Caenorhabditis elegans: one gene and its partner. The protein of the gene in region 1 interacts with the protein of each later gene in a pairwise test. Each region holds a gene or a part of one and is shown in the gene's direction. Other genes may lie near its edges.

Region 1 (5,383 bases):
TATGTACAGCCAAATATGGAGCGACATCAAGTGACATCAACCGGCTCTGTGTTTTCTCTGAATATAAACTTGATAGTAGAATGTCATCATACCATTTAATTTTTCATTAAATAAAAATAATTAATTCTTCTAAAACCTTATTGTTGAGTCTGAACTGGACTATGAATTTTACGAGACTGTATAATATATTTATAATTCCGCTCATGGCTCATTTTTGGCATAAACTTGGTAATGTAAACGTTTTGTGATTTGAAAAAACCCTATACTTCATACCACAAACTACTCTAACAAGTGTTCATACTTTTATGTCTCAAGCTCTTTCAAACAAATCGCACTTTTGTTCCAAATTTCTTCTCATTTTCGTCTCGGTCTTCTTATCATCCCATCCCCCTCCCCTTTTCGTTGATAATCAGCAACGCGCACTCGCTTTACTACAAACACGTCCAATACCTGCGCCTCCTCAAAATCATCCCTATATCATTCCGAGAGCTCCCCCGGCTCTCGGGAGCTCAAGAGGAGATGGCCATGAAGTGCGAGAAGGCTTCCCGCGCCGGGAAGAGCGAGAGAATGTCAGAGTTCGAGCGAGAGGATGTGCTCACGCCCGCGCGTGCCGTACACCGTTGGGCCTGAAGCTTTATCCGCACAGACCTCAGAACAGCAGAACCCCCACCTCCGCAACACAACACCAAGTTGATTTTTTGGAATTTTTTTTTGGAACTCAACCGTCTTAATTTATACATTAGTTCTGTATACTTCTAGACTTGATACAATGCAATTTCAACCTAAAATTGAAGATGTAATCTGAAATCACCCATCTCATATAAGAAAACAATGTTTAAAACTACTTTTTAGATTATGAACGGCAATCTACCAATGCCTAAGGTTGGCACGGTTTTTTTTGAATAAAACTTGTACTCTGCAATTCGATAAATGTATTTAGGATCATGTAAGATTGTTTTTTGCCAACATTTTAGCTCACATACGATAGATCTCTAGGAAGTTTAGTTCAGAACGTCATTCGTGGTATTTTGTGTTTATAATTATTTTTTACTTCAAAGCAAGTAGCATTACCAGATTGTTCAAATAGTTCTTTTTTGGTTGGTTTGTAGGACTTTAATACTAATGTTCAAGTTGCAAACGGAGATACAGGACTTCATGTTAAAAATCGTTAGCTTTGTTGTTATAAAACTTTATGTTATAAAACTTTCATAAGTTTATGTAGATTGGCCTACAAAAAGTATCACCTCTTTAAAAGTTTAAAAAATGTTACTGGCAGTTAGAAATAAAACTACAAAACTGGGGTAATATACGGTGTTCATTATGAAACACACTGATTATGAAAAAAAAATTGGAAAAAACTAAAATTTCAATTATTGGGTGTGGTATCGTTTTTTAAACGTAGTTTAAAACTATATGTTCCGTTAAACGATAAGAGTTCCATAAAAAAAATTAACTGTCAATCACGAATGACTCATCGAATCAGAAAACTCGTTATGCTCAGTTTCATAATTTCAATTGAATTTCTTTATTAATTTTAAATAAAACATCTTACTTTTTCAACAATCTTTTTTTTTCTGTTGTAGTCATTCACTACCATTTCCCCCGTCAAATTGCCCGACAGTCGATAAATATACAAAATCCAGCATAATCTCACTCTCCCTTCTTTTACTCTTATTTTCTATTTTGCACTATACGGAAAACAATACGATTTTTTTGTTTTCAATTTTTAATTAAAAGTAAAAATTCAAAATGTCAAAATGTTTGCAAAATTTTTCATCTATAAACGCCACGTGGTTATTGAAGATTTCGTGTAACTATTGGACTGAAACGTTTGCGCTTTAGCAAATAACTGCGTTTGAAGTGGTACACATTTGAAACAAAATGAATATTTTCGGTTGGACAATATTTTTTTAAACATGTTCTACTAAATTCTGTTTGAAACTTTGATTTATTTTTATTTGTTTCGCTCTATTTTATTGACCAGGACACAATAAAATTTCAGGTAGTCAAATCAAGATGGAACGTGTGACCGTTCGAATGGCTCGTTCGGATCGCCGAACTCCATGGGGGTTCGGTGTGACAGAAGCCCCAGATGGAGCTGTTCTTATTGTTAATGTAAGCTCTTTATTATAAATTTAGTATAAGTGTCCCCCTATTTGTCATAAAGTAGTTTGTCAGTTTGTCCAAATTGAATCACAATAAAATTTGTCGTAAAAATTAGTCTTGAGGCATATGTTTTCGTATACATTTAATACAAAAACCAAGAAAACCCATCACATTCACTTTTAGCACCTCTAGGTTCTTACCGCGATCTCAAAAATCACCGCATCACCACAACTGATTTACAATCTCATCGCCTTCCTCACTTTCTCTCGCAGTTTTATCCTCTGGACATGCCCAGGGAAAATCGGAAGAGCAACACAAAAAACATCACTTATTACAATAAGTTAGATGCTTTCAAAATTTCTCTCAAAACTCATAGACAAAATGTAGTGAGAGATTAGTCGTTAACGTAAGAAAAAATGAATTTGAAAAATTGACATGCGTTGGGGGATTTTTTAAAGCAAAGGGAGCCTTCAATTCAAACAAGTTGAATATCGAATAAAAGTTGAAAATTTCAGGTAATAGGTGGTAGCTTAGCTGATCGTGCCGGTCTTCGTAATGGAGATGTTGTTGATCGTTTGGAAGATCTTGACAATTTGGACATAAACGCTGTTGATAGACTTCTAGTTACAGCTCATGAGAAGATTGAACTTATTGTTACCAGGTAACTCATCTCGTTAAACACTTCAAATTTATCAGTATAGCACCAATTATTCAAAATTTGTGTCGACCACAATAAATAAAAATTATATATAAACAGAGCAGGTGTGTGAAAATAATAAGAAAGACATAATTTTCTCGAATATTTCCCCTAAATCGATCCCTTGAAAATGTACACAACCCTAGTTATGTAATCTGTAGCTTTGTTATCACAACGCAATTCAAAGTAGGTTACTTACCAGTTTGTATTTCCGTTTATTAACCAGTCAAAGTGTTCTCCGTTTTAATCACATCACCAATGTATCCTACCTTTCCGTTTTTAATCCGTCTGCGTCTTAGTTTATCTCCAACAGCAAGTGCTTCATGCAATAGAATATAGATATCCAAAATTTTCGAAGCGAACACCCGCCATATAAACAGGCGAACAGATAAGAATCAGGCCAATCGGTACGGGGGAAGCAGAAGGCAACATTCTTCCGAATATCTCGTTGCAGGAAGAAGGAGGGACTTAGGATTTATACATACATATTCCGTTTGATGACAAATCGTTGCAACTGTTTTGAACTGTTTTGAAACGGTCAAATGTCCCAATCAATGTTTTCTTTAGCTTTGCAACAGCTTTGCAACACAAGTTTTGCTCCTCTTATAAGCACTCTAATGTCATTAAATTTGAAGCTCGTTACCTTTTTCCCTCAAAAATCATTCTGTGTTGATAGTTTTAACAAGCTTCAGATATTTTTGCCCCTTTAAACTTATTTTTGAGCACTTTTTACATAAGCAACTGCAAAAAAAGTTGCATGGAAAAATGTTATAGAATTGCCAAAAATAACTGCCACAGCATTCAAGATTCTTTCCAAAACTGCTGTATAGTTTTAAGAAATACCAAAACAAAACAGTTTGACAATTATTATTATTTTGGCTTTTACTTTTCCCGAATTCGCATAATTTTCTCCTGAATGTTATGTTTTACTTTGAACAGTTGAATTTTAAATAAATAGGGTTTTAATGATGAGTCAGTTCATGACAAAGCAATGTACTTCTGACACTGTTCTTTTTATTTCATTCTCTGTTGTTGTATCAGAGTGTTCCAACAATTTATTCACCCTCTCGCACACAAAAACTGAGAGAATGAAATTGTTGAATACTTCCTCTCACATATTTCCCTTTTCCAGGTGTTTATCATTTTTGAACAAAAAAACTTGCAAGTTTCCTTTTTCTTTACGTTTACCCATTTTCCTATAAATATATTTCATGTTCAATTGAAATGATTTAAGATTCAAAAGTGATGGTGAGAATCACAACGACGCCAAGACCATGGTAATTTGAAATTTAATCGAAGAGATTAAATAGAAAATAAATAAATTTTGATTTCATTCATATCAAATAAGTTTAATTTCAGGCAACCATCCGGTGCAGCCACCAGAATTTGGCGTCCAGAAGTAACTGAAAATACTGGACCAGGACAGGATCAAACCCCATATCGTGTCAATTTGCAGCATAGCAGTGATGTGAGTCATTTGAGTTTTGTTTTGAAATAGGAAGCTTCACACAAAATCGTTATTTGTAATCGTTTTTAACGACAATAGCATAACATTTTTTAAAATTTCTAATAAATAGTGAATAATAAATTATTTTTAGACCCGTCCACCACAAGGTTTCAACAATTCAGCACTTCCTTTTGAAACAGATCAACGTGTGAAACATATGCAATACAATTCTCCATTGGGAATTTATTCCGATAAGTCTGCAGCTGAGCAATATGTTCAACAAACTCAAGGATTGGGAGATAATTCAGGGTGAGTGTTTTTTACATGACTAAATTTTTGAAAGAGCACTTATAGTTCAATTTGGCCAGAAAATATAGTATAAATTTAGTTCGGAAGTTGGCCTATATTTTACAAAAAAATTTCTTGAGACAAGTCATGGCCAAGCTTTGTTCACCCTTTACCAACTTCTGAACAAAATTCTTAGGTTTGGGGCAGTTGGGTCAGAAGTGGCGGTCGAATTCCGAGTCTCATAAATTAATCCAAAAATTACAAGACGTTAACGCTTTTTATCATTCAATTTCAAGAAACGAAAAACAAATTAAATGTATTTAAAATCCACGACGGCTTCTCATTTCTCTGAAAGCTGCAGTGAGGTTATCGATGAACAAAAGCTCGCGTTTCTTGCGCGGAAGGTAGTCTCCCTGAAAATTGATATTCTTTATCATAACAATTCAATCGAAATTACCGTGTCGAAACCTCCGGCGACAGCAGCTTTTCCTGCATCATCTGTAGCATCAGTTTTAGCCTTGCAGTCCTCTGGAAGATGTGGCATGACAAGTGCCTTGGCTTGCTTTCCATAAACTTTTGCCAAGTTTTTAACCGCTGCCTTGTCAGCATCATCAAGTGACTCGAATTTGGATTTAAGCTGGAAAATGTAGGATAATTTAGATTGTGAAAAAACTAGGTCTTTTTCTAATTTCCCTCACCTCCGCAGAAATTTCTTGATGACTCTTGAATAAGTTTCCTTGTTCAAAATCGCTGATTACTTCTCCAGCCAATTCTTTTGCCTTGTCCGAAGGCAGATTTGTTTGTGCATCGGTCTTTGCCGCAGCCACAATGTCCCAGAATTTTTG
Region 2 (5,411 bases), on another chromosome or scaffold:
ATAATCTTTAGATAAAGCAGAGTATGAGCAAAAACATACCCTTGGGAAGGTGGTAGCAAGCTTTCTGATCTGATCATGTTGGTCACGTCGGGTCAGGTTGCTATTCGAAAGAATTTCTTCTAGCTGGGTGTATACTGTGGTTATATTAGAAGCCACGGCTTCAACGTTCTTGCTCACAGCTTCTTTTTGTTCTTGAATTTTCTTTGTCCAAGCGTTAAATTCGTCCTAAAAATCAAATGTGTCTCAAACTTAAAGGACGGTAGTACTTACCGTCACATTGAATGCCTTGGCCCAGATTGTGAGCTGCTCATTTTGCTGATCTTGAGAGAGTTGATCGTTACTAACAATGTCGAAGAACTCTTTTCTAGCAAATCTAGGCACATGCATCAAGAATCTAGGGAACAATGGTCCATCGGGAGATGGACGTTGAGCTTGTTGCCCACCAAATTCTAGTTCCGATGAGTCTTCGGAAAGCTGCGCCAAACAAGGGATAAGTAGTGCGGAGAGCACAATGAGCAACCTCATCGTTTGCTGGAAAATCTAGAAGTTACGGCGACCAAAGAAAAATTTGAGGAAAAGGGAAAATTAAACGGTTTCTTTCTCAAAGTTCCCAGTTGACTCCTTAAATACTTTAGGCCTAGTCTACCTGATCGCGATGTGTGTTCCTTTGAGCACACACGGTCATTTTTTCCTACAACGTTAGAAAGTAAACTTCTGCGTGCGCGCGCGCAAGCACGGAGCCAGAGAAAAACAGTCTCACTACCTAAGAAAGCCGATCATGGGGTCACTAACCTGGAAAATAGTTGAGCATTTGTGGAGGGTAACGAGGCAATCAACAAACAACCTGGCTTTCTCCTTCCGCATTTGAGATCCGCATCAATTTAGTTAAGGGGGAGGGAGGAAAGAGAGAAAGTTCAAATTTTGTAGTTTTTCAAAAATCGTGTAAATACAATTAACTTTAGGGAACTTTTAGAAGAAAGTGCAACTTACGACAAAAAAATCACAGTGATCAGCGCCAGATTGCGTCGCGAGAAACGTTTATTTTACAAAATCATTAGGCTCTGTATAAGTGACTCATTATTTTAAACTTATTTGTTGGTCTCAATATACTTTTCTCTTACAGGTTATCACAAATGCTAACATGCCATATATCTCCACGAGAATTCCGGATCCCCGCCGGAACCTAGCCGGAGACTTCCCAAGTGAGCATAGCAAGTCGAAGATCAAACTTGATCCGCTCGAGCAACGTCGGTTCAGAGTAAGCCGTACTTTTGAAGACTGAAATAAAATTTTATATCATGTTCAGAGCAGTGAATCGCGTCCAATCACCACCAGCAACTATCTCGCCGAGAGTGTCGATCGCCATCGTGAGATGGAAGCATCCCGGCTCAGAGAGTATTTGAAGGTGATTTTAATTTAATAAAGTCATGAAATTATAAAATTAAACGTTCTAGGCAAAGGAAAACGAAGCCAATCAGCCATGGAACAAACCAGGGTGGCCTGGACCAAAGAAGAATGATGAGAGCCTGAGGGAGCTTGAAACCATGAAACAGGTGAGCATGCATAGCACTGCATGAAAAGTATAGTTAAAAAGTAATTCGGAGTTCCGCATAAATCTAGGTATTCAAATAGTTAAATTAGAAAATATAAGGAAAATTTGGCAATACATCACAAATGTATTACACAAAGCCTACAAGTGATGACCAACAAACTTTGTCGAACCCTTGAAAAAAAAAATTTATTTTAAGATTGTTAAATACATTTTCAAAAATCGACCCGATTACCCAGTTGACAAAATTAAGAGATGTCATTGGTTTAGGGTTACCTTATTCACACTAGAACATTTTTTATAATTTTGTTTCCAGAGAATCGAGACGCTGAAAAGAGTAAGTCTATATCCCCTTTCTTGCATGTTTGTTTGTCTTCCTGTTTGTCCTTATGTGCATGTTATACTGTGTTGTCCCTCCTTTAAAAAAGATATCCCTGGCTTGGAAACGACAACACATGGATCCTCCTACTACCTACTGACCAACTTCCCTGAAACTACACGGTGTGGTGTGAAGCGTAATAGTGTGTAGAGAGCCGTCAGCCGAAATTCAGAAAACTTCCCAATCGATGAGCGATTTGTCAGTCTTGCCTACGCCGTCACAATTCGAGCAGCTAAATCCGGTGAGTAGACGGGGATGTTTTCGGGTACTCCAGGTTTTCAAAACGGAGCATTCGTTGAACAATAAATGAGTTTTCAGCAACCTCAAGCTTCTCCAATATCTCCGGGAGATTCTGGATGGCTGATCAAAATGCGCAAAAATCGATATTTGGATCACACCTCAAAGGTGAATGAGCCTAAGAAGTACAGATCAATGGACCAGCTTCCGACTGGAAAAGTAAGCCCCTGTCTATACTCTCAACCCAAAAAATCTCAACTAATGAGATCCACCAAAAAATTTGCGTCCTGCGCTCTACGCCAAATCGAATAGTGTCTCTGCCGAAGAGTTTTCTCTCGCTTAACACATCTCTCCTTCGATCGAATAGAAGCCTCTTGAAACTTCCGCCGACGCACACACAAACTGTATGTGTGGCTGCTGGAGGCTCTGCGCGGCGAGAGAGGGGGCTTGACGGATAGAATTTGAAACTCTTTTCTTTTCCTCTTTACTCCTCCTTCATTTTTATGAGGATTTTCCTTTTTTTTGAAATTTTTTTTAATGAGTAGGTTTTTTTTAGAGGTTTTCAGGTTAAAGTTGTAGGAATTTTTTGTTTCTTGTTAAAAATGATGCATAACGAGACTAAGGCTTAGTCGTAGTTTAAGGCTCAGACTTAGGGTGCAGTGTAATCCGTTTAAGCCTAACTATAAGATAAACATTATTCTTAGGTGTAGGTATAAGCATAGGCTTAGGCTCAGACTTAGGCGTATGTATAAGCTTAGACTTAGGCCTATGTTTAGGCGTAGGTATATGCTTAGGTTTAAGCTTAGGATTGTACTTAGAATTATGTTTAGGCTCAAACTTAGGTTTTGTCTTGATCATACAGTCTTAAGATCAAAATGAAAGGAAAAGTGTTCATTGCATATATTCCTTTTTAGTTAACTTTCAGTTTTTTTTCAAAATTGTTATTGCCTAAAAATAAGACTAAAATTCAGTATTGGTTGAGGTTTTTAATTTCTTGGTGACAAAAAAAAAACGAACTAATCTAGTTTGATATTCCAAAATAATCATGTTCGACCATCATATGTTATTTCCTTTTCCATATTTGATGCTTTATTTTTTTTTTAGAAAATCCTATTGACTTTGAACCTTCATTGCTTCCTTATCTTCACTCTATCTCTTACCGCAATCATAAATTGTTTGTTTCGAAGTTTGTTCGGAGCAGCAGTAGCAGGCGCCCGCGCTCGCGCACCTCCCACAATAATTGTCGGTGTATGCGTGGGGGTGATGCTTTGACTGTTGAATCAGTAATCCGAAATAAAAACAAAGCAATTTTCGAATTGAACAACATTGAAACAAATTGCCTAAAATACAAACAGTTTTGATTACAGGTTGGTGCACCCGACAACGAGAAGTCGGAAGGTACAGATCCGCTGCACTGGCAACTGAGGAAAGACTTCCATTTGGCTAAGTATTCGGTATGTTTTAGTTGGTAACAATTTTGAATATCTGAAAAATTGTAAATTAAGGATCTAGTGAACCAATGTATCAAACCATTAGAATTACAACGATCAGACTTACCTAGTAAATAGTCATCTCCAAAAGGAGTATCTTCAAAGCTAAAAAATGTCCAAGTCGAGAAATAGGTTAATTAATTACAACTTTAGCAAGTCTTGAAGTCCAATTCATAGCTTAAAACATAAGGATCTACCCCGAATTCTATTTTTTTACTGCATAGGAGTTCTACAACGACCCAGGAGATCTTATAAAATTATAGTACTCTCTGGAGCTGTTTTTAAGGCCTAATAACTTTTCTATGCCACCACTATGTATTATATGAAAGTGAAATAAATATCGAAAATTCTACTTTAGTTTGTTAAAATTCACTTCAACTTCTGAAAAGATTATATTAGTGTAACAAACGCACTTGGAGTCAGAATGTCTCAATTCAGTTTGATCTTCAAAAAATGCGGGAGGTAAGACACAGACATCTGATTTTTTTGTATGATTGAGCGTGCTGACACCACAATTTTTTTGGGAAAAAATTCCCGCATTTTTCGTAGACCACACTGTAATGGGAGAGCCTGACACCACCTGCAAACGTATTCCTAAACATTTACAGAAATTCGTTAAATCCCAGTCATCTCCACACATAGATGTATTTATCATTTCTCTGCAGTAGTTCTTAACCGTCATGCGTTCCGCGTCGTTCTTATGTTCCGCGCACCGGGGAAACACGCATTTGACCCGAATAGTGTGCTCATGGTGATAAGTGTTCATGCTCGTGCGTGCCTTAACCTCCTCCTCCCCTGTGTTGCTCCTGGCGCTTTTTGCTTCGTTTTGTCTTTCTCTCCACTATCCCTCGTTTTTAACATACGAAACAAGAAAGACAAACACATTCGTCAAAATCCTAGGAGTTCCCGGGTGCGTCTCTCCGACCTCTCACTAAGTCTCTGGCTCCCCATTATCCTCAAAAGCACTGTGTTTTTTTTCATTATTAGGTGCCAGAATCTAGGTTCAATCTTTTCAATTCTATTTCAATTTTTAAATTTGATGGTTGCAACCAAATGTTTCTCGGCGGAACAGCTTTAACATACCTATTGTTTCAAAAACTTTTGTGGTCAATAGACATAACTCTGAGCGCAAGGCACCCATCTCTAATCACTGTTGCTTCTGTTTGCTGGGCGGGTGAGAAAAATGTCCAACATTGTGTTGTACTTCTTTTTCAAAACCATTCTTTTTCATCGTTACACCAGCACTCTCGTTTCCTGCGTTTCTCACAATTTTGGGATTCTCTGTTTATTCGAGTACATACCGTAGTGGTCGGCTCTCGCTGCTCAACACTTCATTTTTTGCCCTCGAAAAGAGTTTTTTTGGAAAGTTGCAAATTCAAAAATCACGGAGATATTGTTTTGTTAACTTTTATTGGCGAAATCGATTTTTAAAAAAAATTCTCTAACAAGATACCTTTTCAAAATTAAAAAGTGTCCATCATTGAAATGATCTCATCTTTGACCAAATCTATAATTTTTATATTTATAGTTACTCTATTTTCTTTTCTCCCACTGAGATCTCGTCTTGCCTTATTGAAAAATCCTAGAGAATTATATAGAAAAGTTACTGACAATTAGGCTTCCATCCAAATATGTCCTCAACCAACGACGACAATACCGAACCGCCGTACTCGACAGTCAGGCAGTTACGAGCAGAATATCTGGCTCGAGTGGCGTCATCCTCCACGTCATCTCGATCGCATTCTTCGCGTCCACC

The links.
Region 2: the proteins of alp-1 (region 1) and pat-12 interact in a two-hybrid assay, tested with the Caenorhabditis elegans proteins (2 studies listed by BioGRID).

Annotation. Positions count from the first base shown.
Region 1 is NC_003282.8:8,850,498-8,855,880, forward strand, and holds the start of alp-1 (PDZ and LIM domain protein Zasp), read left to right. Parts: upstream 1-2,002; 5' UTR 2,003-2,016; coding exon 2,017-2,115; intron 2,116-2,621; coding exon 2,622-2,767; intron 2,768-4,032; exon of another isoform or gene 4,033-4,048; coding exon of another isoform or gene 4,049-4,080; intron 4,081-4,162; coding exon 4,163-4,271; intron 4,272-4,401; coding exon 4,402-4,559; intron 4,560-4,798; exon of another isoform or gene 4,799-4,858; coding exon of another isoform or gene 4,859-4,951; intron 4,952-4,995; coding exon of another isoform or gene 4,996-5,175; intron 5,176-5,236; coding exon of another isoform or gene 5,237-5,383. Other genes in the region: T11B7.5 (uncharacterized protein), read right to left, coding at 4,859-4,951, 4,996-5,175, 5,237-5,383.
Region 2 is NC_003281.10:735,802-741,212, reverse strand, and holds the start of pat-12 (Protein pat-12), read left to right. Parts: upstream 1-2,234; coding exon 2,235-2,384; intron 2,385-3,532; coding exon 3,533-3,619; intron 3,620-5,411. Other genes in the region: idpp-1 (SXP/RAL-2 family protein Ani s 5-like cation-binding domain-containing protein), read right to left, coding at 40-225, 271-525.